Rhinolophus ferrumequinum: one gene and its partners. The main gene of each other region encodes a partner of the protein of the gene in region 3 in a complex. Links are inferred from orthologs where the notes say so. Each region holds a gene or a part of one and is shown on either strand. Other genes may lie near its edges. The genes, in order: RGS1, HCAR1, GNAI1 and C3AR1.

The links.
Region 1: the proteins of GNAI1 (region 3) and RGS1 are in contact, whole or in part, in a crystal structure (PDB 2GTP), measured with the Homo sapiens proteins. The link is inferred for Rhinolophus ferrumequinum from reciprocal best matches to the Homo sapiens genes GNAI1 and RGS1. Residues at the interface, in NP_002060.4 of Homo sapiens: Val179, Lys180, Thr181, Thr182, Gly183, Ile184, Val185, Gln204, Ser206, Glu207, Lys209, Lys210, His213, Ala235, Glu236, Asp237, Glu238; in NP_002913.3 of Homo sapiens: Ser105, Glu106, Phe107, Ser108, Glu110, Asn111, Ser143, Asp144, Ala145, Ala146, Gln148, Ile149, Asn150, Ile151, Asp152, Phe153, Arg156, Leu181, Lys184, Asp185, Ser186, Arg189.
Region 2: the proteins of GNAI1 (region 3) and HCAR1 are in contact, whole or in part, in a cryo-EM structure (PDB 9IZD), measured with the Homo sapiens proteins. The link is inferred for Rhinolophus ferrumequinum from reciprocal best matches to the Homo sapiens genes GNAI1 and HCAR1. Residues at the interface, in NP_002060.4 of Homo sapiens: Glu28, Arg32, Leu194, Asp315, Thr316, Glu318, Tyr320, Phe336, Thr340, Asp341, Ile343, Ile344, Lys345, Asn347, Leu348, Asp350, Cys351, Gly352, Leu353, Phe354; in NP_115943.1 of Homo sapiens: Lys48, Ser50, Thr51, Leu54, Arg113, Lys116, Val117, Pro120, His121, Asn125, Thr126, Ser128, Leu203, Arg206, Gln208, Leu209, Gln212, Arg214, Met215, Lys217, Ala218, Phe221, Ile222, Ser281, Ser282, Pro283.
Region 4: the proteins of GNAI1 (region 3) and C3AR1 are in contact, whole or in part, in a cryo-EM structure (PDB 9IPV), measured with the Homo sapiens proteins. The link is inferred for Rhinolophus ferrumequinum from reciprocal best matches to the Homo sapiens genes GNAI1 and C3AR1. Residues at the interface, in NP_002060.4 of Homo sapiens: Glu28, Ala31, Arg32, Glu33, Val34, Lys192, Asp193, Leu194, His195, Lys314, Asp315, Glu318, Tyr320, Lys330, Phe334, Phe336, Asp337, Ala338, Thr340, Asp341, Ile343, Ile344, Lys345, Asn347, Leu348, Asp350, Cys351, Gly352, Leu353, Phe354; in NP_001313404.1 of Homo sapiens: Asn57, Arg120, Val123, Val124, Pro127, Ile128, Gln131, Asn132, Asn135, Val136, Tyr356, Ile359, Arg362, Met363, Arg367, Phe368, Lys370, Gln372, Lys374, Thr375, Val378, Ala379, Leu438, Gly439.

What each region holds. Positions count from the first base shown.
Region 1 is NC_046310.1:5,294,661-5,302,415, reverse strand, and holds the start of RGS1 (regulator of G-protein signaling 1), read left to right. Parts: upstream 1-4,749; 5' UTR 4,750-4,751; coding exon 4,752-4,891; intron 4,892-5,255; coding exon 5,256-5,336; intron 5,337-5,774; coding exon 5,775-5,836; intron 5,837-7,176; coding exon 7,177-7,340; intron 7,341-7,755. UniProt on the Homo sapiens protein: Regulates G protein-coupled receptor signaling cascades, including signaling downstream of the N-formylpeptide chemoattractant receptors and leukotriene receptors. Inhibits B cell chemotaxis toward CXCL12.
Region 2 is NC_046308.1:4,884,429-4,891,145, reverse strand, and holds HCAR1 (hydroxycarboxylic acid receptor 1), read right to left. Parts: upstream 2,458-6,717; 5' UTR 1,774-2,457; coding exon 742-1,773; 3' UTR 509-741; downstream 1-508. UniProt on the Homo sapiens protein: Acts as a receptor for L-lactate and mediates its anti-lipolytic effect through a G(i)-protein-mediated pathway.
Region 3 is NC_046303.1:44,057,758-44,065,151, reverse strand, and holds the start of GNAI1 (guanine nucleotide-binding protein G(i) subunit alpha-1), read left to right. Parts: upstream 1-4,391; 5' UTR 4,392-4,677; coding exon 4,678-4,795; intron 4,796-7,394. UniProt on the Homo sapiens protein: Guanine nucleotide-binding proteins (G proteins) function as transducers downstream of G protein-coupled receptors (GPCRs) in numerous signaling cascades.
Region 4 is NC_046293.1:24,655,159-24,662,903, reverse strand, and holds the start of C3AR1 (C3a anaphylatoxin chemotactic receptor), read right to left. Parts: upstream 3,003-7,745; 5' UTR 2,800-3,002; intron 1-2,799.

The DNA of each region.
Region 1 (7,755 bases), on a different chromosome or scaffold from region 3:
GCAGGACTGCAAGTAAAGTTTGTGAAATCAAGACATTTTGTTTCAATGGGTCAAAATTTCTGTTCATGTCACTGACTCTTATGGTATAAATACATTTTTGCTTTTAAGATACAATCTCGTGGGCAGAGGACATGAATAGACATTTTTTTTAAGGAAGACAGAGGCCAACAGACATATAAAAAGATGCTCAACCTCACTAGTTATAAAGGAAATGCAAATCAAAACCCCAATGGGATATCACCTCACACCTGTTAGAATGACTATTATCAATAAGACCAGAAATAACAAGAGCTGGCAACTATATGGAGAAAGAAAGAACCCTTAAACGCTGCTGGTGGGACTGTAAATTGGTACAGCCATGAAGGAATACACTATGGAGGTTCCTCAAACAATTAAAAACAGAATTGCCATAGGATCCAGCAATCCCTCTTCTGGGTATCTACCTGAAAAATTTGAAAACACTTATTCATAAAGAACAAGGTACTTTATGTACCTTGTTCACTGCAGCACTACTGTGGCCAAGACATGGAAACAACCGAAATGTCCTTTAGTGGATGATTGGATAAAGAAGATGCAGTACTATCACACAATAGATTGTTATTACTCGGCCATAAGAAAAGATGAAATACTGCCATTTGTGACAATATAGATGGACCTTGAGAGTATTCTGCTAAGTGAAATACATCAGACAGAAAAGAACAAGAACCATCTGATTTCATTCATATGTGGGACATAAAACACAAAGCAACAAATGAACTAACATACAAAGAAAACAATGAACTCACAGATACAGATAACAGAATGATGGTGACCACAGGGGAAGGGGAGACAAGCACAGGGTGAAGAGAGTAAAGGGGGACAAATACATGGTCCCAGAAAGAGACTCGACTTCGAGTGGCAAGCACACAATTGAGTGTTCAAATGTCATATTACAAAGTTGTACACCTGAAATTTATATAATGTTACCAGACAATGTTTCCCCCAATAAACTGAATAAAAAAAGACAAGAAAAGCAGGCCAATAAACTTTTTTTAAAAGATGTAATTTTGTACTGATTATTGTCCTTTTTCCTCACAGTTCCAATGTCCGCAATAAAATTTCAGCAACGTTATAAAGACTCAACATCATTTTAATCAATACCAAGGATGAGAAAGTCATTCAGCAAAGCATTCCCTAAAATTCAGGGAGTTGGGGTTATTGAAAGCAAAATGTAAAACCAACTCAACAAAGATTAAAATTGACCCCATCAAATTGATAGCCATTATCTGAAATGTTTTACTGAAGCCATCTCCTAGACTTTTTAAAATATAACACTGGGATTTTTAGGGCAAGGAAACGATTCTGCATGACATTATAAGGGTGGACACATGTCATTATACATTTGTCAAAACCCACAGGATATACAGAACTGACAATCGTAATATATGAGGTCTGACAATTAAGTTCATGAACTCATCCTAGAAAAAGTGCCACACACCTCATTGCTGAAGATCACTTTGGTCACCTTCAAAGTACTCCCCTTGGGAAGCTATGCACTGACGCCAATGCCCAGTCAACCCTTCAAAGCAATTTTGGAACTCTTTCTGGAATGGCCATCAGAGCTGTTGTTGTATTACCCTTGATGTCCTGAATGTCATCAAAATGTCATCCTTTCAATATTTCCTTTATCTTCGGGTAAAGAAGTCATTGGGGGCTGGATCAGGTGAGTAGGGAGGGTGTTCCAATACCCTCCCTACTAACTTTGTATGTTAGTTATCTGTTTACTGGCTAAAAAGTCCCTCACAGACACATGTGAGCTGGTGCATTGTCGTGAGGCAGGAGCCAAGAATTGTTGGCGAAAAGTTCAGGTCATCTAACTTTTTCACACAGACTTTTCAGCACTTCCAAATAGTAAACTTGGTTAACTGTTTGTCCAGTTGGTGCAAATTCATAATGAATAATCCCTCTGATATCAAAGGAATGTTAGCAATATCATTGCAACAAGTTCACGAACTTAATTGTCAGGCCTTGCACACTACGGATTGTGGGTAATGATAACATGACATTGGAGGTTCTTCCTTGGTTTTAACAAACAAACCACACTGACTGATGTGAGGTGTTGTTTGGGGGGCAGCCTGTGGGGTGCAGGGACGATGCGGGAATTCTCTGTACTTTCCACTCGATTTTGCTGTAAATCCAAAACTGCTCTAAAAATAAAGCATATTTTTTAATATATATAAAAAGATAACATTAAGACCACATGAAGTATTACTTTTCTTAAGACTCCAACCTTGTTTCTCATGCACAATTTCACCAAGAAATATACAAACAAGAGGACCTTTCTGAGAGCCACTCTTTCTTCTACTAGCTTTTACCAAATGCTCTACAACTTCAACCAAAGGTATTGACTCAGTAAAGTTATTATTTGATCATCTGTCTTTTGTTAAAGAGGAATCAGACAGGGACACTGCGTGCAATAGATAGGGAACGTGCAATGCCTTGCCATGGACCCGTGAACCCTTGCAAATAGAGCTTCCTGGACTCTGGGCTTCCTTGGCATATAGGGCTTTGCATGTGCTAGCGAGCAGCCTTCGAGAGGAAGACGCTATTGCTGTGCCACTGAGGTGGCTTCAACAGCCAGTTGTGACAGAGGAGTTTCAGATGGACCCCCCCTATTAGGAGTTTAATTCTCTATTTGGGCTTAGAAGTGTGCGACTGCAATTGCTTGCAAATGTTTGAGCTTGAAGGTCTGTAATGAGGTAGCAAAAGGTGGGAGGTTTAGAGGAATTACAAGGTGACTTATGGCTGTCTCAGAGGTTCCTAATGTGGTGTCAAGAGAACATGATTTCTGCAAACTATTTTCCCTACCGAAGGAGGGTTCATTTCCCAAAAAGCATAGGAAACCACTGCATATTCTACCTTCCTTTCAGACACTGACAAATGTGCGTTCACACGTTACAGGCTCGCAGATCTGCGCTGATCAATTTAAGAACCGTATTCGACTTGGACCCACCATTTCCCAAACTTTTGTGGCCGCAAAATCATTGCTGCTGCTGCTCTTATAGTCCTTATAATGCTTCCTAACGACCGAAGGAACTAGTGTTGCAGAAGCATACTTTGGAAATTGTGAGTAGATATGGAGGATAATAATAACAGGAGGCCATTCAAAATAAACATTAAATCCTTTTGCTCTAACTCACAATTTTGTCGGGGAATGAGAAGTTACTAGATACACAAACATGAGACATGCTGAAGATTTTAACAGAAAGGTGAAGCATGGCCTGAACCACAACACAGACCAAAAAAAAAAAAGGCCTTTATGTCATTGTTCTTTGAGCCCCATCATTTCTTTTTGGGTCACAAAGTGGCCAGCTTATTTCACTAGTTCTCTTTCTTAACGCATCATGATGTTATCTTCTGAACACCAAGTGATGCTTGCTACACAGAATATATGTTCATGGCTTTGTAGGAAGTGGGTTTCAAAATATGATAAGCATGATTCCTTCAATATTCCTTATCCTGCTGATAGAGACAAGACAGGAAAAGTCATACTCTCTTTCCTTTTGGCAGCTTTGCCTATTACCATCAGGAGCCTAAGTAAAATTTGTTTTTTTTTCAGGGATAAAAACCAAAAGAGGTTTAAGTTAAACTGGATACTACAAATAAACCACACTCTATATAAACTCTATAAGAGATGATATTGTACTAATCCCTCTACCCTGATCAATGATTAGTCATCTAACTCCTTGGGATTTCTTTTAAATCCTTACTCTTAATTAAAGGTACACTTGAATCTCCAGAGATATTGCCAAAATTCAGAAGTTTTCACCTAAGGAATACACATTATTGGCCTTTCCAAATATACTCTTATTTTACCATGAGCAGTGTTTTCTCTGATACTATGCAATTCTTTACTATCAGTACGTGTATATACTATGCCATATTTCTGTGTTAAGTATACTTTTGTTTACAGTTTTGTTTTCATTTTGTTTTATTCTTATCCTAAGCAGTGATATACAAAAAAAAAAAAAATCAAACTCTGATAGGCTAGTTATATTCCTAATAAATGTTAAAACCACTAAAATCACCCCTTTAAATCATCTTGGATATCACCAGTAGAATGTCTAGCACACACCTGGGAAAACACATGGAAATTTCTTGCCTTCAAAATAACAGATGAAAGTTAAGATAACCTCTCATAACTCTCCTTCCTATAAGATATTTGCACAGATAATTGAGGCAAAAAGGATTTGTTTACACTGCTTCCTGAAAGGAAAAAACAAAACACAAAAAAGAACTCTTTTTAAAACACTGTGATCGGATGAACTTTATAGTCAAGGATGAGCCAAGCATTGAGAGACTATGTCTCGAGTACTGAGTTTCTATGGGACCCAATAAATATGCCAAATGAGACATTTGAGTGAAACATGCTATTGTTAGGAAGACAAAAGCATCACCTAGAACCAAAGACAGAAGCTCCTAATGCTTTAGACGTATGGTTTTGTGTGTGTGTGTGTCTCAGTGGGTTTAATTTTCTGGCTTTCTTTCTAATCAAGTGACCTGTTCTTATTTGGTTAAGTTTCAACCACAAAGCATCCCTGCATGCTTTTTTTTTTTTCAAGACACACGTCACAGCCAGTGAGAAAGGGGGAACTTCCAGTGCCTGTGGTAAAATCACTTGATAAACAGACTCGCCGAGCAGCATGTGTCTGCTTGCCCTCACGATATATAAGCAGCAGACACGCTGACACGCAGACATTCGCCCTGAGAGGATGATGAGAACGGCAGCCATCTCCACGCCAAGGTTAGACAAAATGCCAGGCATGTTCTTCTCTGCTACTGCAAAGGAAGTGAAGGGAACCGATCACTCCCTTCTAGAGGACAAAACGCCAAAGAGGAGGCCTAAGACTTTGTAAGTCCCGTCAGCATCTCACGTCGTGAATTTTGACTTAGATTATCTTTAATGGCAGAATGGAAGACAACAGAAGCCAGCCGGTTAGCTAGATCAGAGTCATGACCTGGTGTGTGAGCTCTAAGGATATATCCAGTTGTTTTAAAAAATGAGTTGTGATTAGACATTACAGTAGGTGGGGATTTGACCAGACTTAAACTGGTTCACTCTTCGTATAGTAACAGGGTGTAGCAACTATTTTTATTATTGCCTTATTTCTTGGAGAAGTGTATTTCAGCTTCTCTTCTTACAAATTCATTTCTTTTTACAAATGAAGTGTTTTCAACTGATGAGCTCTGAATACTCACTTTTGTGTCTTTCATAGTGGAATGGACGTGAAAGCGTACCTGAGGTCTATGATCCCACATCTGGAATCTGGAATGAAGGCTGCCAAGTCCAAGGACATGTATGTACAGATACACTGTCACTATAAAAGGGGCCTGTGCATTCGCTGTGTATGTTAGCCAGAGATTAATATGGCACATTGATGTGACAAGCCTAAGGAGATTAGCATACTAGTGCCACTGTAAATTAAATAAGAGCATGTGTGTATGCATGTATTTGCTATTCCTTATGCTGCTAGAGCACCTATTTTATTAGAGCACTTGGATTTTTCAGATTTAATTGGCGGATGTTTTCATCTAGCAATTCTATATGAAATTTTATTTCAGTAGCAATTCTAAGGCAAATTTCGTTCTCTTATAGATAAACTTTAATATAACTTATTAGAACTATAGTCTAAGTGTTGGTGAAGTTCTCAAAATGCAGGAGCCTTTGCTGATTTCACTTGTGCTTCTGAAAAAAATATATTTTTACTAATTGATGTAAATCTTGCCCCCTGCAGACTGTCTGCTGATGAAGTAATGCAGTGGTCTCAATCTCTGGAAAAACTTCTCACCAACCAGAGTGAGTACAGATTAACTATTGAATGTGTCTGATTTAGCTCAATACGCTAACGGATTGAAAGGCTTCATTAAGATACAGTATTTTGGGGAGGGGAGTGTATGAAAAGCCATATATATTCTAGTTTTTCTGTAGTCACTGGTAGTTTCAGCATATTATGCCTTGTTGTCATGGCATGTTCATTTCGCACTCAATTCTGCCACTGACAAAATTGCCAAGACAGTTAGATGCTTCCATGGACCTGATAGGTGCAAAATGAAAAATTAGGCTGGGGTTCTGATGTTTAACATTTTTTAGAGTGCACCAAACCTCTCAACATGTGAACTGCTGTTCTGAAAGCTACCTAAAGAATATTTTTGCACCGCTGGATGTACGGAATAGTATTCATTCAGTCAGTTGATTATTTTGTCATTCACATATTCCATGAGCTCCCCTGTTCAGTCCACTTTCGTGCAGCAAGCATTTTAGAAGCACCAAGGATTCCAAACCAAAGACGGTGCCTGGCTGCCCTAAAGGCAGTTAAGATGCACAGTATGTAATTGCACCATATATAACATAGCACACGTTATAACACACACACGATAAAAGCAGTTCTCAGACACAGAGTCTAGTGGGGCATCTCTGATGAGAGCACATAAAGAAAGACATCTGCCTGTCCTACCCTCATCATGACCACTGATCCACCGAGATAAGGACCCTGTTAAAGGGTGTGGATAAGCTGTGTGTCTCTCCAGAGGGTGAGTTTATGCTCCTCTCCCCACAAACCCCTAAGGAGCCTTGCTTGGGGATCAGACAGTTCAACCTGGTTCATCCATCTTATTATCTGACTTCATTTACAATTCAGCCCAACAAACAGCATAGAAACGGCCCATCTGAAAGTTGCCATAACACTAGCAAATATAACAAGTGTGTCACACATAGGTCACATAGAGGCCTCGTATTTTCCAACTCATGAATTGGATGGGAAATTGTATTGGTAACATGCTGTTAAGGCCCTTTGTCAATGTTTGCTTCCCTAAAATACTTTATATGGGAGAAGAGATTTGGAGAGCAGGAGAGCAGGATTTTCATTGAATTAGCAGATAGAAGCAAAAGCAGTTTCATAGCCACCACTAGGCTGCTATGTGACTGTGACCAAGTCTGTGTGGCCTCAGATAAACTGTAAATGAAGGAATCTCTAAGGCCCTCCCGTCTCACGAACTGTGACACACCTATTTTAGCAGCAACCATCTCTCACCTACATAGAGAATGCAATAGCATTTTTCGTTCATATTTCTTCTTCAAGTTATTCCTTTATTGGCTCAATTAACGTAAATATCTCACCTCTCACTCTTTCTTTTTAGCTGGTCAAGTTGTTTTTGGACGTTTCCTCAAGTCTGAGTTCAGTGAGGAAAACATGGAGTTCTGGCTGGCTTGCGAAGACTACAAACAAACACAGTCGGACCTCTTGCGTTACAAAGCAGAGAAAATCTACAAAGCTTTTGTGCATTCAGACGCTGCTAAGCAAGTGAGTATCAAGTTCATTATCATCGGTTTATAAGCGAAGGAAATTAAATGCAGACATGACATTCCACATACAGAACAAGATGAAATCCTATATGAGTATCATGATTTCACTGCTATCTGTTTAGGTATATTCATGTAGTTTGGCGCAATGATAACCTAATGTTCTACATTTGTGACAAGATTGGATGAAAGACTGATTTTGCAAAGCTAGCTGACATGATGGGGGTGGGTAAGGAACTATAGCATCACTGGCAAGAATTGAATCCCAGGGAGTTCTCGATGAGCGAGCTCACCTTGGGTGAAGACAAAATATAGAACAGTGTAATCCATACGCTGCAGCAGCAAAAGTATTTCCAGTTACTAGAAGTGCCCACCTTCCGGTTAAATATCCACAAAACATAGCTGCACAAAGTACC
Region 2 (6,717 bases), on a different chromosome or scaffold from region 3:
GGTGAAAGCAATTACTCTGGACTCCGCACTTCCCAAAGGCCAGGGGACTTTTTTTCAAGCACTCAGCTCCCACTGGAAAAATCAGGGCAGGTAAACATATCCCTCAGCATGGTCTCTGAAATGCCAAGATTTGCAGAAAAATGTGGAGCCCAAAAACAGAGCAGATTGTTTTGCTGTCATTCTTGGGCTATTGAGAAGTCAAATGAACAGAGTCCCCCCCCCCCCCCCCACACACACACCAGATGAAAATCATGGGCATCAAGACATTCCAACCTACAGAGCCTCACTCAGCCTGACATAAAAGTACTGACTTAGTCCGGTTTCTGTTTTCCAAGACAAGTAATGATTTAAGGTCGGAGGATAGGAAATACTGATAAGTCATTAAATTCACTAACTCCCCCCCGGAGAGAGGACACGACCGGTTTAAACACTTGTACCTATTTACCCAGGCGGTTAAAATTGCACAGAGGCCGAGCTCTTCCTAGTCCCACCCCTCCCACCTCCCCCCGCCCGTCACACACATGCCCCTTGTCCCCTATCCTTGTAATAAAAATCATATAAACTCACTTCTCGACTGGGACCTTCCAAAAAGGCATCGTAGCCTAAACTTTGTTTCCAACAGAGTGAGAATAGAGTTGAGAAAGGGCAGCATTTTCAAAGCCCCTCAACCCCTCAGCACAAATTATTTCTAAGTCGCCAGTCTGTCCTCGACTTTGTCTGTCTGTCTGTTTCAGTGCCGGTTCAACACATGTGGAGACCCCACGGCACATCAGATTGGCTTTGCAAGCTATTTGCCACACTGGTGCAACTCTTGCGACAGAGGTTTGAAATCGGCGTCTCCTCTGGCCTCTGTGTCTTGGAGCGTCCTGTTCGCTTGGGTCTCAAACTGCGGATTTGGAGCTTGGTGTAGAATTTGGGGAACGAGGGACTTGAAAAATAATACACCAGGGGGTCCAGCATACTGTTCATGTAGGTGAAGCTGAGGGTGACATGGAGAGCTACGTGGACAGAGGGGTTGCAGGCACTCGAGGGCACCGTCCAGAGGAAATACAGCCTGGCTGACACGCTGGGCAGGTAGCACGTGACAAACACGGCCATCACCACCATAATGAACCGCATAGCCTTCTTCATCCGAGTCTGCCTCGCCAGCTGCTGCCTCTGCTTCAGGCTCCAAATAATCTTGAAGGAGCAGAATAAGATGATGCCGAGGGGCAGGAAGAACTCCAACTGGAACATGATGTCATGCCAGCCGTTGGCCGACTCCATGATGAAGCTCTCACAGGATATGGTCTTCTCTTGCACACACAGGTGGTTCTCCATCAAAAGATACAGGGTCCCCAGGATGACCATGGTCCAAAGGGCGCAGACGATGCCAGCCGCAGTCCGGTTGGAGATGGTGTTCAGCACGTGGTGGGGATGCACCACTTTGAAATACCTGTCCACGGCCACCACCGTGAGGAAGACTATGCTCCCCGCCCTGTTCATGGCCAGCATGAACAGCACTACCCGGCAGGGGATGTCCTCGAATGTCCATCGTCTATCTCTGCGGTAGTAGTCTGTCCGAAAGGGCAGGCAGATCATGAGAAGGAAGTCGGCCACGGCCAAGTTGAAAAGGTAAATAGTGCTGGGTTTCCAGGTCTTCATGTGGAAGCAGAAACCACATAAAGCGATGCCGTTGCCCAGGGCACCAAGCACAAATGCCAGGATCAGCAGCGGTGGCATCACCCGCGAAATGGGGTCCCCCTCAATGAGGCAACACGACCCGTTGTCCATGGTGGACAGAGGACAAATGCTCCGTGTGCCAGGCAAGCCCTGGAGTCCCCACAAAGACACAGGTGCTTATCTGAAGGCTGCCACTCACCCAGCTGCTATTTTTCTAACTTCTTCACCCTGGGATGCAGGTACCCACCGCACATGTGGGTGGATGCAGCCACAGCGGAGAACAGAAACTTGAGCCAGGAAATGAGAGCCTCAGGGAAGTCCTTTCTCCAGAGCTTGGGTCACAAGCTGCCTGTCTCCCCAACAGTCCGAGCATGTAGCATGGTAAGACTTTGAAATGCATGTAACTTCGTGCAAGTGGTCATTTCTGAGAAGCAACCGGGAGGTCCAATGAGATTCATGCTGGAGAGGAGTTGTTGGGTCCGGCCCCAGAACGATTTTTATTTCCAGCCTCACTCTTTTCCCGCAGACTCTCTCTGTGCTGGAGAGCCGCAAAGCTGCCCAGAAGGCACGAAAAGAGTTTGTTTGTCCTCCCTCCCGGAGGAGAAATACAAACATTTCCTGCAGCCAATCTGGGCCTCTGCACTGCTTTCCTCCCTAACCTTTGCCTGACTGCCCGTCCTCTCCCTCATCCCATGGGGCACTCCCAGGCAGTGCCAGAGACCGAGGCTCAGAGCCATTTCCTGTGCCCACACCCAAAAACAACCCTCAAAGATCAGCAGGGTCTGTGGACGAAAAAAGTTCTAAAAACCGCACTTGTTGGGTGTTAGAAAAGTTCTTTGAAGTGTTTCCGCCTCTCCTCCCCTCCGTTCACACCTCCTACCCTTTGCCTCCTTCCTTGGATCCAAGTGACCAGTTGCACAACCAACAAGACTGTGCATCCCAAGCCATTTCTCATATGTCCGTCTCCATGAAACAGCCTCTGTGGGAGCCAGTTCCTCCCTCTGCTGTTTGCAAAAGAGGATTTGGCTCTAAGTTTCCCACTGGCTGTTCAAAAGAGCCAAGCACCGTGATACATTGGTTTTTAATTTTAATTATGTGCTGAGCCCTTTGGTGGGGACGCATGAAGTTTGGGACCGTTGGTCCAAGAGTCTATCTCTAAAATAATCATGGGTAAAATTAGACTGCACCAAAGATCAGAGTCTGCTAAATTTTCCTGTCCTTTGACTGTAGAAGTGACTTACGTGCCCTGTGTGGCTTTCCAGCTCCCAGCTTAGGAGAGGGGTGCGAAGAGGGAGTGCTTTGGAAGCATGCATGCCTTCTTCCGTTGCTGATTAAAACTAAATTCTTCCCTCTGAATCCTAGACTCCCAATTAGCCTGACAACACTCCCTACTCGCTGCCCTTGCCCTAGCACCGACCACTGTTACCTCCTAGCTGTTGAAACTAGTCCATTCCCTGTAATTCCTCTCCCACACTACAATGTGATTTTTTTCTGAAGTACAGATATGATCATATCCCTTTTTTTCCCCTCACTTAACAGCCATCATTAGCTCCCTCCGATCTGCCAAGGTGATAGCTATAGAGCCTGTGAGCCGTATCTGTTTCGAAAACCGGTTCGATTTGGCCCACATGTTTAAAAAAACTAGGACTGTCCTAGAAAAAACCTGTATTTCCAGCCTCTCCTGGGAAACTGGAAGATCTGGCCACACTTGGCCAAAAATCCCACATAGTAACAATCGGCCAGAGCTGAGAGTAGCTGCCCCCTTGAGATGGGGCAGCTCCGTTTTGCCACAGCCCCCACCACTCCCTATTACCTGGTCAGCTTCACTCATTCAAATGCCTGATCTCTGGAATTTTGAGTTTGTCACCTCTGCCTTAGGTTAAAGATCGCATTCCTTGGCTTAGTATACAAGGCCCTTCACAGATGGTTCCCAAAGTACCTTTCCTGCCACTTTCCTCCTCACTTGTTAGTCTCATAACTTCTAATAAATAAGTGTGTCCATCCAACGTCCACGTTTAGCTCCCCCACTAATCCAAAAGGTCCTTGGAGACAAACTCCATTTTCTTGGCAGGATGGAATAAAGATCTGGATAACTAAGTCCTGCTTTTCATGAGAGCTCATGGCAGCCACTTTCACTGGATGGGAGGGGGACCTTCGTGATTCTCTAAGGAGGTGTTCACTGTTGTAGGCTGTAGCACCCCAAGATGAGGCTGGCTGGGGAACTCTGAATACCTTAAGAAGGTCAGGCTGGACTTTTCAGCAAATGGAAAATATTCTTCATCTGTGTTAGCAGATACCTCCAGATTCTTGTAAACCCAAGGGCTTCCTTTTCTTGCGTGACTAACACCGGCCTTTCTTTTCCTCATCCTTTCTGTCTTGTCAAATCTCCTTCCTCTCTCTCTCTCTCTCTCTCTCTCTCTCTCTCTCTCTCTCTCTGACTGTAGAATTAGCTGGAAGGCAGAGGATTTAGGAAGAGAAGATATGTTTCTCTGAAAGTCTACTGTTGATAATGTGTGGGGAGGGGGTATGTGGGAAATCTTTTTTGCTGTGAACCTAAAACTGCTCTAAAAATATAGCCTTAAAAGAATTTATACCAGGTTTTATTACTGATCTTATTTTTAGTCCTAGCTATTAATTACAGTGCCTGATGCAAAGTAGAGGCTTTGTTGATTTAAAATGGTTTATTCACACCTGAAACTAATATATTGTTCTATACCAAGTCACCTAAAAAAAAAAGTAAATTAAAGTGTAAAAATAACATAAATAAAAATAAAATTAAAATGTGTATTAAGTGAATCCTCAAGGTGTTTTTGCTAGATGCTTTCAGGGTTCCCCAAATGAGGAAACTATTACCTGCCTTCTGGAGCTCAGTTTTTAGGGGAGGAAATAAGACAAATACGTAAATAACAATAAAGCAAAGCAAACAGAATAAGCAGCTTAAGGCAATATTTTCCAAAATGTGGTTGGCACACCACAGAGGATAGGCAAAATTATTTTAGGTGACACAGAGTAATATACATACACATGTGTTTTGACTTTACAGCTATGACTTTATTTTAATGTGTGTTTAAAAAACACACATTGGAGTTTTGTGAGAAAGAGTTGTTAACATTTCTAGGGGGCAGAAATAGAAGGAACAGACATTCCAGACAAAATGCAGATCATGGAAGAAGTAAGGCTGGAGGAGGTATATGAGGAATATTGGAGGACTTTGAAATTTGGAGTCTATTCACAGAACTGTAAGGAATAAAACAGGCCACCACCGTTGAGTGGGGGCAGTTTTGCAGGAGACCTTGAATTCAGTGGCAGTGGGGAGCCATTTTTTAAGTAAATAGTATTGTAAAGGATTGTGTGAATAGTTGAAAGAGAGAATGGCAGTAACAGGAACAGGTTTTTGTTCCCGCCCCTCCCCTAATCCTGCAAGCCCTGAGGACACAGTACTGTCCCTTGTTGTCACTTGGGAATTCTGCAGGCTTGGAACCTGTGTTTTCTCTTTCTAGTGTGTTCCAACGGGAGCCTTGGTGGGGATATTATCCAGATAACTGAAGCCCCACTCCCTTAAGCATCAACACTTAACAAAAAAAGTTTCTCAAACCTCTTTCTCCGATTCCACACCAGAACCAAAGGAACTTAGTGCCAGCCACCAAACAGCTGAAGCCATAAGCTTGGTTCCCTCTTCTTCCTCACTCACCATCATCTCCACTCTGCTGGTCAGACGCCCTAAGCCTCGCCACGCCCACTGTAACCACTTTGGCTGGTCCAAGGTTCTGGAGGAATGCAGCTGCCTCCTGATGGGCCCTCCTGCTGCCTGTCTTGCTCCTCCTCCAATCCGTTCTCCGAAACTCAAATCTGCTGTCATTACTCATCTGGTCGAATGCTCCAGTGACTCTGGGTTTGTCCTTAGCGGGGGAATTCAAGATGGTTAATAAGGCTCCACAGAACTGGCCTCAACGGCTCCAACATGAGCCATGGCTGTATTTAGTATCCAAAGACTGTCCTACAGGGACCGCTGGGGACACACTTCCTTCCCTCATAGTCCTGAATAACTCCTCTTTTGTCAGCATCAGCCTAGATCAGTGTCTTCCAATAGAACCTTCTACAAGGATGGAAATGTTCTGTAGTACACATGTAGCTTTTGAGCACTTGAAATGGGGCTAGTGGGAACTGAATTTTCAGTATTAGTTCATTTCAATTAATTTAAAATTTAAAACCACTTGTGGTTACCAAATAAGAATCCCAGGACACTACGTCCTCTAACCCCCAAGCCTTCTGGGAATCTCCCTATCCGGTCTGGGTTAAGCCCTCCTCTCTGCACCATCTCTGCCACTCACATACCACGAAGTATTATAAGGGTTTACTTGTGTGTCCTCCCCCAGCTCTTCATCTCTGCGAAGACTAACACTGGGTCTGATTTAGCTTTGCATGCCCGTCACCTAGCCCAACACCTGCCATCATGCTCAGTATGTCTTGAGTAAGTGAGTGAACCAGTGAACAAATGATTCCAGACCTTTGCAATTTACTTCTTCTTCTGGCTGTGAGGACACACCCCTGAACAGGAAGGGCTGGTTGAAAGAACTTGTGGACACACCAGCCAGGTGACGTGGCATGCTCCTGGGCCCTGCCGTGCCAACTCCTCCGATATAACGTTTCTTCTCTTTATACGTGACAGGGGCAGGAAGTGGACATTTCTGCGGGGGCTGCCTGGCAGGTGTCAGGAGGAGGAACTGTCTGCGGTAGTATTTTGAAAAGACACATTTGTGGGTGCCTCCTTTATCCCCACGTTACTGCCACACTCACAACACTTCTGTCGCCAAGTGTGTGGGATATTTTTCCCACACTAAGCCATTCTGTGTGACACCAACTGAGTGTCCTGCAATTCCCATTCAGTTCTGGCACCAACCAGAGTGAGTGCAGACCCCACAGGTTGAGGGTTCAGTCCCACGAGACTGCTCCCCACTTCAGATGCCAGTTGCAAGATGTGGGTCCCCAGGTTACCCACAATTTCTGCCTGACTTGGCTACCATTCGAGGTTCCCATGACCTCCCTCCTCAGATT
Region 3 (7,394 bases):
TTTTGTCCTGGGCACTGTCTGTGAAGCTACTTGAGGAAGACTGAGTATTGCCAAAGGTGCATTGCCCTTCAGGAGAATACGGGTGGCCAAAGCCAAAGCTCTGTCTCTAGATGCTTTCAATCAGTCAGTGTTCTGGTGTCCGGGGTGGTGGTAGTTCCATGCTGAGACCATGGCCTCTACCTTATCTCAGTCCCACAATGTTGTAACCTGCACACTCAAAGAGAGCTGCTTGCCTTATAATATCTCTCAGTAATAATTCAGTGGGCTTTTTTTTTTTCAACCTTTACCCACAATCTCACAAAATGGTTTTGGTTTGGGGCCCTTATAGCTATAACTATAGAAGAGTAAAGATGCCATGCTAGCCCCTCTATTCTCCTACTTATTCCTGTCCTCTCCCCAAACCAAACTCTCTCGTGATTTAGAAAGCAAAAACCTCAATGTAGGCAACAGAGAGGTGTCCACATGCCACATCTGCTCCCAACTGAGCCAGCCGAAAATACACACTTCCCTTCTGATAATCTCTCTCTCTCTTTCTGTCTGACATGTTGTCCTCGCTCTGTCTTCTTCTATTGTTCCTCCTTATCCCTGCACTAATCCATCAACACCAACACATCTCAGGTGCACAATTCTTTCTGGCTTTTGCTTGGAGGGATAAAATTGAAGGCCAGAAGAAGTTTCTGAATTTTTATCTCAGGTCTGAGACTAAGTCCATAAACTTCTGAATAATATATAATAGAATCTCAAGGTTGGAAGGGATCCTAAAAGTTCACCTATCTCTAGATCATTCCCGATATGTGATCATCCAGTCTAGATTTTTACATCTTAGTCAAGAACGAATATGTTTCTGAAGTTCCCTATTCTCTTTGGGGTGGGGTGGAGGGTGGGGAAGGTGGGGTGGATTATACATGGTTTTTCCTCACATCAAGGAAAAATTTGTTTGCTGTAGCTATCTTCCAACACTTCTAAATCTACCACCTTGAATCCAGACAGAAAATGTCTAATCCCTCTGATTTATGATGTCTCTTCAGTCATTTGGAAATATCTGTCATGTCACTTTGTAGCTTCTAATTCCTATATTAAATACCCCCAGTTTCTTCAATTATTCCTCATGACTCAGTTTGGAGTTACTTTAAGTACTGGATGCTCTCAGCCGAATGTGTCCCAATTTGTGATTTAACATATGTCCCTAACTCTCTAGCATATGACGCTCAGTATTATTCAGCAATAAAAAGAACTGAAGTATTGATACAAGCTACACATGGATGAACCTTGAAAACGTTATGCCAAGTGAAAGAAGCCAGTCACAAAAGATCACACACTATGTTTCCTTTTATATGAAATATCCAGAATGGGCAAATCTAAACAGACCCAAAGTAGATTAGTGGTTGCCTAGGACTTGGCGGTGGTGGATGTCCTGGAGAGATTGGGGGGTAATGACTATGGCGTAGGGGGCTTCTTTTTGGGGTGATGAACGTTCTAGAATTGATCGTCATGATGGTTGCACAGCTCTGTAAATATACCAAAGCCATTGAATTGTACACTTTAAATGAATAAATTATACGGCATATGAATGATATTTCAATATAGTTGTTTAAAACATGATGTGCAGAAGAGAATCAAACAGTAATCTGAAGTAGGTTGCTTTACCCTCTGTATTTCAGTTTCATTCTCTGTAAAACAGATGAGTTAAAAATACCTGCTCCACCTCCTTGACAAGGTTGTTAAATCACATTTTGCAAACATCATAATTATGTAAATTATTAATTTGAATGACTCTTACACCTCATATCTGGGTTACTAACATAAGCCATTTGCTGGTAACTCATTTGTTTTGTTGGGTAAGAGATTTCTTTTCTAAACACCTATTACCCAACACAAGAGAATGAAAGGAACGTTTTCTTCCCATTTTATAAAGTCCAACTCTTCACCTTAATATTTAAAGCTACCTTCCAACTTTGTCCTAGGCTTGCTATCATTCTTCACAGCTAAACTTCATTTCAATTATAAAACGATTGCTTTCTCCAACATGTACCTTAATACTGCATATTAACCCTTTTCGCTGTTTTTTTCCTCTCGAACGAAACGTACCGTTATGGACTAAATATTTGTGTCCCCTTGCCAAGTTCATGTGTCAAAGCCCTAACCTTTGGGAAGTGGGGCCTTTGGGTGGTAATTAGGTTTGGGTGAGGTTATGAAGGTGAACCCCTCTCCCCATAATGAGATTAGTGTCCTTATAATAAGAGGAAGACAGACTAGAGCTCTTTCTTTCTACGTGTGAAGGCACAGCAAGAAGGTAGCCATCTGCAAGCCAGAAGGAGCATCCCACCGGAAAACTGAATGGGCTAGTACTTTGATCTTGGTCTTCCCAGCCTCCAGAACGGTGAGAAATAAATTCCTATTGTTTTAGCGACACAGTCTATGGTCTTTTGTTATGGCATTGTGAGCTGACCTACACATACCCCTTGGAAACTCCCCACCAATCCCCAGTCATGGCTTCCTTCAAAAGTTTTTTTTAAAACTTTCTTCTCTTGGAATTTCTCCCCATACTGTTCACTCCATACACTGCATCTTCTCATATAAAGCTACTTTTCAGTTCTTATTCACCCATGTATTATATTTTAACTCCTCACCTACTTGACAAGTTTCTCAAAGGAGAGGGGTAATGTGTATAATTATGTTACACCTTCTTTTCTCCAAAGTACAAGTTTTGTAGTCATTTACCAATAAGTACTCAGTCATGATTACTTCCTCTTTTCCCACAATTGTTGATCCCACACTCTCCACGCCTTGAAGCTTATAGGAAAGACTCACAATAACAGATAATCCAATATGGCTGATACACAAAGACTATGTTGTAAATTCACTCAATTAAGTTTAATTCCAGAGTTTCTGATGAACACCCACATTTAGATGGCCAAGCAATACACAGAGGGTAGAAGGTGATTAAGTACAATTTTAGGCTTGCTCCTTTTGTTGTTACATTATAGAAGGTCATAGGAAAAGTTGAGGCAGTTCTTGCAGTTGCATCTCTAGAGCCCAGCAGTTTTGACTTTTGTAGAACAGGAAAGGACATGTCCAATGAGGAGGAAACTAGCAATCTCTGCAAGCCAGCAATCTCTGGCTTATGTGTGACTCACTCTAAAGCTATACTTGCTGTAGCATCAGCTCAGCCTTACCTTCGTGGAAACAGTTTTTATAAATCGTTTTTAGAAAACGAGAGTTCCAGATGGGAACCAAAGAGCAACTTCCTAATTTTTAATACATCAAAGAAAATGTTTTTCTTTACTCCCAGCCCCATCGTATGATCCACCAACATTCTCTGCCATGACGGTAATGGAAAGGTGTTGTGCCACTGAGAGGAACCAGACCTTAAACCTACAGCTTATTCATTTGCTGTTGGGTGAAATGCATCTGCAACCTCAGAAGCTTCTCCCCAAACCAGTTAGAGCTAGAAGGGTGGAGAAATAGCGTGAATCAAGGCCATCTCATTTTACGGGCGAGGAAGCTAAGGCCTACGAAAAGAAACGACATCCCCAGTGGCTTATGATTTACTAACATATTCATAAGTATTGGTTCACAACTTGGCTTGGAAATTTACAGGACACCCTAGAAGTGGGCGGTTATGGTGTGGGGCAGATTTGTTTGTGTAGGTGTTTTATTCCCCTTGTCATTTTAAAATACACTCTTTGATACTTTGCCTCCCATTTTCTCGGGTTATGAAGAAACCCTTCAAAACGTTCTCTGCCTGTGCAATGTGAGGCTGGAAGGAGGGAATGATGAAAGGAAGGGGGGAATAACAGAACGAAGGAAAGGCAAACTGAAGGCAGTGACCTCCTATCCTTCTCTCGAGACTTTCCTGATTCCCCGTGTTGCCATCTCTGCTTTCTGTTTCCGCCACGGCTCCATTCCCTTTCCAGCTCCCTCTATTTCCCACAGTCCTGAAGGCCAGCCGACAGAGGTTTACATTTCCAGAACCTTTGCGTGGCTGCGGAGCTGGGCATGCTCAAACGCCCGAGACCAGCTTCTTTTCGGCTACCAAACTTTGGCAGCTCTCCCACCCATAAACCCGAAGAGGCAGGCATTTCCGCACAGATCCCTGGGCGTGAGCAAACGGGAAGAAATTATCCCACTCCCGCGGAGGGAGCGAGGGAGGGGAGCCCGTGGCCAGTCGGAGGTTCCGCGGGCTCTGCCACGGGGCGCGCGCGGAGGCGACCAGCGAGCGACGCCGCGCGGGACTCAGCGGCCCCGCGGGAGCGCGCGCGCCCGTCGGAGGGGGCGCTGTCCGAGGGCACGTGCGCGCGCGGGAGCGCGCTCTGGGGGTGGTCCCGCGCTGGCGGGAGGGGCGGGCGGAGGCGGGGCCGCGGCGGGGCGGGGCGGGGCCGCGGCGCTCTGCCCGGCTTCTCCAGGCTGCGGCGCGACTGCGGGGGAGAGGGAGGGTGGCAGCCGCTGTGCCCGGAGCCTCAAAACCGGGACTTCGGCGGCGCTGAGGGACGCCAGCAGCGGAACCCGGCCGTGGGGAAGAGCCGCGCGGCGCTGTTTGCTCCTTCGCTTTCCTCGCTCGGTTTGGGAAGTGGGTGGGGGTGTCGTGGCCGGCGGCGGGAGAGAAGGAATCACCTGTGTTCCGAGACGGCGCGCGGGACTTGAAGGGAGCGGCGGCCGGCTCTCGCTCCTGGCACCATGGGCTGCACGCTGAGCGCCGAGGACAAGGCGGCGGTGGAGCGGAGTGAGATGATTGACCGGAACCTCCGCGAGGATGGCGAGAAGGCGGCGCGCGAGGTCAAGCTGCTGCTGCTCGGTGAGGGCGGCGGGGCGCCCCGCGGCCCCGGGGGTCGGGCGGGTGGGCTGGGCGCGGCGCGCGGCGGGGGACGCTGCGGGCCCCTCGGCGCTCGGAAACCCGGAGGGGCCGTGTCACAGCGGCCGAGGGCGCGTCTCCGAGCGCCCAGGAGGGTTCCCCAGCGGGAGCTTGTCTGGGGAGGTGCGGAGCGGGGGCGGCCGCCTCCCTCCCTCCCTCCCTGCTGCTGGCCGGGGAGAACTCGTCCCCGCGGGGAGCCGAGGAGCGGAGCTTGAGGAGCCCCTTTTCGTGGAAGTTAGCTTAGCTTTATAAAGACGAAGGGGCATCAGTGACGGGAAAATAACAGCACCTCCCGCCCCGAAACCCTTCGCACGTGGTGTGGTGTCGCGGTTGGCGTTTTCCCACGGCAAGAGTGCCACATTTTGTGAAATCTGTGCACCTTTCGTGGGGCCTCCGTGGGATTGAAATTTGTCTTTCCTGTTAACTTCCTGTGGCGACTCAGTGGTAATGGAACACTGATAACGTTTACCCGATGACATTTGCGTGAAGAGGTGGGCGACGCTGGATGCTTGGTTTTTGTCACTGTGGGGACCGGGAAACCATCAAAGTTGGTAACGTTTGCTCCAGTAAGAGAACTCGAGCGGTCAAAACCGATGTGCAGGTATGAAAGGGATGCGCCGGACCCCGGGGTTCTCTGTCCGCTGCCATGCTCTCTGATGAATGAGATTTTCCGGGTACGACGCCAAGGCTTTTTATTTGTTCTTAGTATTGTGCTCTTGGTGACACGCCGTGTGGAGGTCTTTTCCGGTTGTTTCAAGGGAGATAACATAGAAAGAGAAAGCCAGGGTGTTGACGGAGGGGTACACGAGGAAAATATTGACAGCGAAAGATTTGCAGATGTCTGAGTTAGGTTTCCTTTTGTTTGCTTGCCCCCGCCCGCATCCCCACACGCACACGCTGTAGGTGTTCAGGCAGATGAAAGGTTTCTCAGAATCTTCATTTGCACTCCGAGCTGTTGCTTTTATTTTTATAACAATTATAACGAAAAAGAAATGCTGCACAAATCTGTTTTCAGTAAGCTTCTGTTTCATTGGTTTAATGACGGCAGGAAAAAATGGTGCTTTTATTTTTCTCTCTATTACTTGGAGGCTTAGAAGCAGCAAACTTGGCATGACTAAAAGTAATAATGATCTGAGTCATTTTGCAAGCAAACTGAAGTAACCGCGTTTTAAAGACCTGGGTGGCTTTCTTCATCCTCGCTCCCAACATAAATCGTTCTTAATGCCGTTTACTAAGTTTATACATTCGTGAGAAATACTTTATTTTGCCAAGGTCAGTGTATGTTTTAGTACGTTGAGCGCAGAAGAGAAACACCTCGGTATGGAAACATGTAGGTGCTCCTTTTATGAATTGAATGTGCTGTGCTTGACAAAAATGAAACAAGGAGGATTAAAAAGTTCTTGCATTTCTGCATTCCTGATAATACTATTTCAGTGTACTGCAGTTTGAACCAGCCATCTACCATGTTTAAAGCAATTGAAAAATAAGTCCTCTGGTGGTGGTCTGAGCTTTAATTCGATGTCTGTCAGAGAGAGATGACTAGGATACAGGTCCAAGGAGTGGGTTTTTCCTCATATTCAGAAGAGATCACTGTTTCTCAGCCTTAGCACTATTGGCATGTTGGGCAGGATAATGCTTTGATGCGCACGTTGTCTTGTGCATTGTAGGTTGTTTAGCAGCATATTTGGCCTCTACCCGGTTAGATGCCAGTAGCAGCCCCGGTAACCTGTAACTCTCGAAAATGTCTCCAGATATCCCCCCAAAAGCCTCCTGGCAGCAAAAATTAACCTCAGGCCTAGAACCACTGTTCTAGATTAACAATTAAATAAAGTTGAATGTGTAATGTAGAATCAAAAGTTGCATCTCTACAGCTAACTATAGCGAGATTTATGAGAGGTGTAGCAGAGCAGGGATTTTCAGAAGAAATCACGGAATTTTTGATTCTCCATCCCAGTGACATTAGAAATATTTCAGAATGGTTTTTAAAATCTGTAGGTAAGAGGATTCCCTCAGCTGTCTCTTCTACCTTCAGTCTTTTTGTTTTTCCCCACGTCTCTCTTCTACGGAAGTTTTGTCCTGTTGGCCCAGCACTGCTCTTCCTCCCCCCCTTATCTGCCTTACTCCACCCTTTTGCCCAGTTCCAACACCCTAGTTCCTATAAACAGAATGCTGGCTGACTTATTTCATAAATCTTAATCCTTGGAATGTTTGAAAACATTTATTTTTTGACTTTAGCAGTGAAGTGTTGATCTTTGGTTGTTTTTTTTTTTTTTTTTTTTTTTGGATGTTTAAGCAGCTCAATAAAATCATTCCCTATAAAACAGAGCGACTGAATCAACTAGAAATATAAAATGGTCTCTAGGTAACCCACAACCAATGTCAATTCCATTTACATTAGGTCTTCTTCCTCTTCATTGTTTTTCTCATCAGATGATTTTTTTAAATGTATTTAAGGTACAATGCCTCCAAAGTGCATTTAAGACAGTGGATTAAGTAGTTCATCATATTGCATTTTTTCTTAAGACATGTATTATGTTTTTAG
Region 4 (7,745 bases), on a different chromosome or scaffold from region 3:
CACCATTCTACTTTCTGTTTCTATGCCATTGACTATGATAAAAGTAGAATCATACAGCATTCATCTTTTTGTGACTGGCTTATAACACTCAGCATAATGTCCTCAAGGTTCATTCATGTTGCAGCATGTGTCAGAATTTCTGTCCTTATTAAGGCTGCATAATATTCCATTATGTGGATAGACCTCATTTGTTATCTCTTCGTCTGTGGATGGACATTTGAGTTGCTTCTACCTTTTAGCTTTTGTGAATAATGCTGCTATGAATGTGGGTTTAAATGCATATTGTTTTATAAACTGCTTTCTTTTTTCAGTTACCAGTCTCTACATTATACAGCAAGATTGTACCTTAAGGAATACTCGATCTTTATTCAATTTTTTCCAACTGTCCCAAAACTATCTTTTATATCTAATTTGCCCACAATTATATCCAATCTAGGATCACACTTACATCAGGATGTTATGTTTCTTAAGTCTCTTAAGTTAGTCTAGTTTCTCTTTTTCAAGGATATTGGCTTGTTTTGGGGTCTCTTGTTCTCACCACTCACTTCTTAACACTGCACAATTTGTCTTCTGCCCCCATTGCTCCACTAAAATTACCTCTAAATAATAAATTCAAGCATCCTTTTCTCTGTTGCCATCTTCCACAATATAATACATGTCATGTGATACACTGACTCCTTAACATTCTCTTCTCTTAGCCTGTGATGTTACCTTCCCCTAATTCTGAAGACTCCTACAAATGTACTCTATTTCATAGCTTTATGAACAACTCACTATTTCAAGTTAATGCCATTTTCTGTTCTATGGCTAATGAATGCTGTTTGCTTCTATCTGCAATTATGTCCTTCACCTTAACTTCCCCTTTCCTCCATTTCTAATCTCTCCCTGTTAAAATCCTAGCTCTTCTTCAAGATCAAGTTCAAATATTATATTTTCCTTGAAACTTCCTCTAATAATCCCAACCAGAAATTAGTTCTTCAGCTTCGAATTTTTTTCTTTTTCAACTAAATTTTTTCCCCCGTTTCCCCCTCTTCCGCCTCCCCCCACCCCCACTCCAGTTCAAGCCGATTATTTCTGTTTGGTTGTGTAGGACAGAGCTTCCTGGCCCTGGCCCATGCTCTCCCTGGCCCTTGTGCTCCCTCCCCCCCCCCCCCCCCCACAGCTGAGGCAGCCAGTCGCTGGTCGGTGGTTGGCTGCTCACAGCAGGCAGCTCACTGCAATTCTCGCTGGCTGCCAGCCGCTCACGCTGGCTGCTGGCTATTCACACTGGCCACCGGCCACTCATGGCAGCACACGATAGCCCACGGCAGCCCACGGCAGCACACGGCAGCCCACAGCTGCTCTAACTTCCGTTTTGTTTTCTACTTCCCAATTCTTACTGGCTGTAACAGCATTTTATGTTTCCTTTTATAAAGGCCCCAAAGTATTTTTGTGACTAGAAAATAGTTCTGCTGAGTTAACCAAATGTTGTTGTAGGGTCTTAATTAGCAGTAGTTAAAATAACTAAGTCAGCAAAATAATAAAAAGAAGTGATTGTCATCTTTCCTGTTGCCTCGCATACTCAAATATTCAAGTCCTGTCAGTGTCCCTTCCTTCCCTGTTTTGCACGGCAACACCCCTGATCCACTGTTCTATTCCAACACACATATACATGCATAGATCCATAAAATGTTCAGAAAAGGATAGTCATAGGCTCTTAGGGCCAAAAGGAAACGTAGCAATCACTTCTCCTTGTCTCTACTTTTCATTTTGCAGTTTTGACACTGATACTCAGAAAATTAGGTGACTTTTACTATACAACTAAGAGGGTTCTCAGATTTTAGGTCCCATGTGTGTCAGACCAATTCCTTTTTACCACAAAGAATCACGTAACTTAGAAGCCTTTGGTATTGCTAACAAGGGTATCAAGAGCTGCACAAATTGAAGTATTAAAGACTGACAGAAGCCACATTCCAATGTAAAGAAATTGGGTCATCCGGTATGAGTTATTTTAAATATCACATATTATCTGTTTTGAAATGAAAGTATATATAAATCAGAATCTTAAAGTCTTTCAGAACAAGATCACTTTTCACATTTATCCTAGGGTTTTGATTGAAAAATTCCTCTACATTTAAGATTAGTAGAGAATTTTCTTTTATTTTAGTTTTTAATACTGAATTGACTGGCAGTAACTAATAAGATAAATAAAATCCTGAAACTAAAATTCAACTATGGTAGGGAAAGAAAAGTGGATTCCAGAATCAAATACTAATGATAGGATGACAGAGTAAGTAGCAAGAAGGAATAAGTAAAAGAATATAAAAAAAAAGAGAGGTTGGTGCCTGGATGGCTCAGTTGGTTAGAGCGCAAGCTCTTAACAACAAGGTTGCTGGTTCAATTCCCACATGGGATGGTGGGCTGCGCCCTCCACAACTAGATTGAAGGACAACGACTTGACTTGGAGCTGATGGGTCCTGGAAAAACACACTGTTACCCAATATTCCTCAATAAAAAATTTTAAAAAAAGAAAGAAAAAGAGAGGGAAATACAATGAGAAAAAAATATATATACAAAGAAAAAATAGACAATTGGGGAAAACTGGAATCAAAGGTCAGATGGAGAAACAGTCAATTTAAGAGAGGAGGGGAAATGACATAAAAAAATCACTATTAGTTCTAGAACGAAAATATGAAGAGCAAAGATAATCAAATGTGGAATGTTTAGAAAAAGAAAGGTGCACACGGGGAGAAAACAAAAGAAGTATAAGTTGGAGAAGGAATAAGGAGAAATAGAAGATAATGACCCTCCAACCATTACCTATAAGGAGCAAAACAAGTGAGGCACAAGTGACCAGCTGGATCCAGGATTCCTTACCAAAAACTTGAGACAGTAGCTGAAGGCTTCAGCATAGAGCTGGGGGCCTCCCCGAGTCCTGTCTGATCTTCACACTTAACCACAGTCAAGTGTGGTTGGAAAACTTATTTAGGAAATTTGCTGAGCTCTTCCTCCTTCCTCTCTCTCTCTTCATCTGTGTTGATAAATCGAACCTCACACTTTTGACTACTATTTGACTTCACAAGAAGAGTTTCAAAGTGAGTCACTTTACAGATAAGTAAAGGAAAAAAACAGAAGTTGGGAGGGTGTAATTCTCGGACATTTTCTGCAGGACGGAGCATGGTTAGAAAGAGTACTTCTGTACATAAGCTACGCACTTTATTGATTTTTGCTTTTGTTTTTGTTTTAGAAATACACCACAATCACCTATGGTATGTGTGGGTGGGGATGGGGTGTAGTTGGGAGGAATGACCTGCACAGCCCCATGGAATAAATCTCAAATAATATCACTTACATGCTTAATACAAGGTTGGACAATTAAGTTCACGAATTCATCCTAGAAAAAGTGCTACATACCTCAATCCTGAATATCATTGTGGTCACCCTCGAAGTACTCGCCTTAGGAGGCTACAAATGTACTCTATTTCATAGCTTTATGAACAACTCACTATTTCAAGTTAATGCCATTTTCTGTTCTATGGCTAATGAATGCTGTTTGCTTCTATCTGCAATTATGTCCTTCACCTTAACTTCCCCTTTCCTGCATTTCTAATCTCTCCCTGTTAAAATCCTAGCTCTTCTTCAAGATCAAGTTCAAAAATTATATTTTCCTTGAAACTTTCTCTAATAATCCCAACCAGAAATTAGTTCTTCAGCTTCAAATTTTTTTTTCTTTTTGTGTGTGTAGTTTGAACCTCTTTTCATATTATGCAATGACACATTTTATCTTGTAGTTGATATGGTGGCAGTTTTATTTATCACACTGGCCTTAAATTTAATGATGATAAAAATGTTTTTTATCAAAATGTTTTGATAAAACAAAATGTTGAACATCATCAAAATGTTTTCCTTTCAATATTTCCTTTATCTTCTGGTAAAGAAAGAAGTCATTGGGGGCCAGATCAAGTGAACAGGGAGGGTGTTCCAGTACAGTTATTTGTTTACTGGTTAAAAACTCCCTTACAGTCAGTGCCGTTGAGCTGTGCATTGTCGTGACGCAAGAGTCATGAATTGCTGGTGAAAAGTTCAGGTCCTCTAACTTTTTCATGCAGCCTTTTCAGCACTTCCAAATAGCAAACTTGGTTAACTGTCCAGTTGGTACAAATTTATAATGAATAATCCCTCTGGTATCAAAAAAGGTTAGTAACATCATGGCAACAAGTTTGTGAACTTAATTGTGTGAACTTGTACTTTATTTTATTGCATTTTATTTATTTTTTTTGTGTGGGGGGAAAGGGAGCAGGATTTTACTGGGGAATAGTGTGTACTTCCAGGACTTTTTTCCAAGTCAAGTTGTCCTTCCAATCTTAGTTGCAGAGGGCGCAGCTCAGCTCCAGGTCCAGTTGTGGTTGTTAGTTGCAGGGGGCGCAGCCCATCATCCCTTGTGGGAGTCGAACTGGCAACCTTGTGGTTGAGAGCCTGCGCTCCAACCAACTGAGCCATCTGGCACTGGCCCATGTGGGAATCGAACCAGCAGCCTTTGGTGTTAGGAGCATGGAGCTCCAACTGCCTGAGCTACCGGGCGGCCCAGACCTCATATTTTAAAAGTAAAAGAACAAAATCTACAGCAATAGGATAAACATTAAAACTATTAAAATAAAACAGAGAGAGAGAGCTTGAAAGGGGAATCATTTAGCTTTTGGTTCCTACAACTCCAGACAATTCTACAATAGAGATGATCTCCTACCGTGTTTCTCCGAAAATAAGACCTAGTAGGACCATCAGCTCTAATGTGTCTTTTGGAGCAAAAATTAACATAAGACCTGGTCTTATTTTACTATAATATAAGACCGGGTCTTATATAATATAATACCGGGTCTTGTATCAATTTTTGCTCCAAAAGACGCATTAGAGCTGATGGTCTAGCTACATCTTATTTTCGGGGAAACACGGTATAATAGAAATGGTGGGTGTGGCCATGGCAGCTGTTGGCAACTGTGGGCTCTAGCAGAATTACTGGTTCCAGTAACAGCCACGGGCCTGTGACTTCCTAGATTCCTGCTAAGCAGCAGCAAGAGCGCCCAGTCTCCAAGCCAAGTACACACTTATCCATTCTAGGTAACAGCCTTTTCCACTTTTGTCTTCCAATTTTAGGAAAGCAGCTTCTTGCAGTTATGTCATCTTCTCCCCATTTATTTCTCCAGTTCTTCCAATACTTTTTAAAACAAATCCTTGTATTAAATACCCTATATGAAGTACATACAATGGTTTCTGTTTCCTGGCTGGGCAATGACTAATTCAGAAAATATTCACTGTACCTATTCCATAGGACTGTTAAGAGTAAATGAATTAATACATGCAACATGCAAAGCATTTAAAACAGTGCTGGCATATAAGTACTCAGTAAATGTTAGCAATTATGTCAAAAAAACTAATGTGGCTTCCAGTTGTCTATAAGATTAAAACCAGTCTCCCATCTTGAACATGTATCAAATAACCTACAAAATATTCCCTTGCCAGTGTTAAGTCACATGCTTTTTGTCCAATCAAATCCTAACCATGGCTCTCAAGGATGTGGATTAGATATACCTTCTGCTCCGTTCCGTATAACTGCCTAATTAATTATGCACAGTGACAATAAAACCAAGTAGGAACACAAATTGAAGAACACAAAAGTTGCCCACAAATTAAAGAAATTCAGTTGAAAAGTATATATATATATTAAAAAAGTGGTTAATCCCATCATAATAACAAATATCTAATGCAGTCATGCTTGGCTCTTGAAGAAATCAACCTAATTTAGCAAGAAAAATAGGTCAAATCTGAGTGGTTTAAAGAAAATTTAACAAACTTTGCTTCTTCTATTTATTTGTTGGTTATTAATTTTCTATTATAGTATGCATCTAGGACTGCTAAAGAAGGGAGAGTGAAGGGGAAGTACACTGAGTTTCATTAACACATTTTGTGACTTTAGTTCCATGAAAATGAAAGTGGACAAGGCACAAGGCATCAATTTGTGTTTATCTAATCTAATGAGAAAACATAGGAACTTTAGGCGGCGGGGCATGGAATTCAGGACTATCAAGGGGTACATGGCTCTCATAAATTTTGTAGATCTAGATAAACTTTTGAGTAAATTTTGATTGATTTTCTTTTCTTTTTTTTAGGTTTGCTATCCTATTTGTGCATTATTTGGAAAATGTCTTCTTTAGTTTCTTTCTCCTTTGCCTTTCTTTACCGATTTCATTTCCACTAGAATGCATGCAAAAGAAGGTGATGTTACAAATATACTGGGTTAGAAAACCACTATTTCCCTCTCTGTAGGGAAAAACCCAGTTCTTCATATCCTGTGTGTCGCCTTTACTTTCACACAGCTGACACCACTTCTGACACTTTGGTCACCAAATGGGTGGGACCTGGCACTATCTCTAACTGCACATAGTAGCATATCCCACAGGTTACAGGCTCAGTCCTACAAGACTGTCCCCCACTTCAGATGCCAATCTCAACTAGTACGTCCCTAGGTGACCCCAACTTCTGCTGACTTGGCTACAAATCAGAGGTTTCCATGACTTTCTCCTCTTTGGATTTGATTATTTGCTAGAACAGCTCACATAACTCAGGGAAACACTTACATTTACCAGATTATTAAAGGAGATGATAAAGGATACAGGTGAACAGCCAGATGAAGAGGTATATAAGGTGAGGTCTGGAAGGGTCCTGAGTGCAGGAGCTTCTGTACCTTTGGAGTTGGGGTTGCATCACCCTCTGAGTGTGAATGTGTCCCCCTTCCCCGGTCCCCGGAAGCTCTCCAAACTTTTGAGGTTTTATGGAGACTTTATTAGGTAGTTGTGGTTGATCATTAACTCCATTTTTAGCCTCTTTTCCTTCTTAAGAGTATTAGGGGATGGAGGCTGAAAATTCCACGCATCTAATCATGGATTGGTCTTTCTGGTGACTAGTCCTCATCCAGGAGCTATCCAGGAGCCCAATCAGAATTGCCTCATTAGAATAAAAGACACTGGGCCTGCCGGGTGGCTCAGGTGGTTGGAGGACCGTGCTCCCAAAGCCAAGGTCCCTGGTTGGATTCCCACATGGGCCAGTGAGCTGCGCCCTCTAGAGCTAAGATTGTGAACAACAGCTCTCCCTGGAGCTGGGCTGCTGTGACCAGCCAGAGGTTGGCAAGAGCTGCCGTTGGCCGCTGAGTGCTGCCACAGGCTGCCGTGGGCTACTGTGTGCCGCCATGAGCAGCTGGTGGCCAGCATGAGTGGCTGGCAGCCAGTGGCCAACCAACGACTGGCGACTGACTGCCTCAGCTGGGGGAGCGCAAGTCTCATAATACCAGCACGGGCCAGGGCACGGTGTCCTACACAACTAGACTGAGAAACAACGGCTTGAACCAGAGTGGGGTGGGAAGGCGGAAGAAGGGGGGGGGCGAGAATAAAATACACTTTTGGGTCAAAAAAGGGACTATGCACTAAACCTGATAAGCTCACGGGAGGCCAGCATGACAGGCCCTACAAACTCAGAGACTGAAAGTAAGCACACAGGATGGTCTGAACATTAAAATTCCTAACTAAAAGCAGGTCATGGAGGGTAGTCATATTCTAGGCCTGTAGCTTCCTTGACAAAGGTCAATCTTTACCTTAAGTGAGCCTGTCTACTGCCTTTTGCATCTAAGATAACAGACCTTTGAAATATCAGTAATCTCCTTTTCCAGACCCGTCAGGGCACACCCACTGTAACAGAGCACAAGACCACAGAACCTC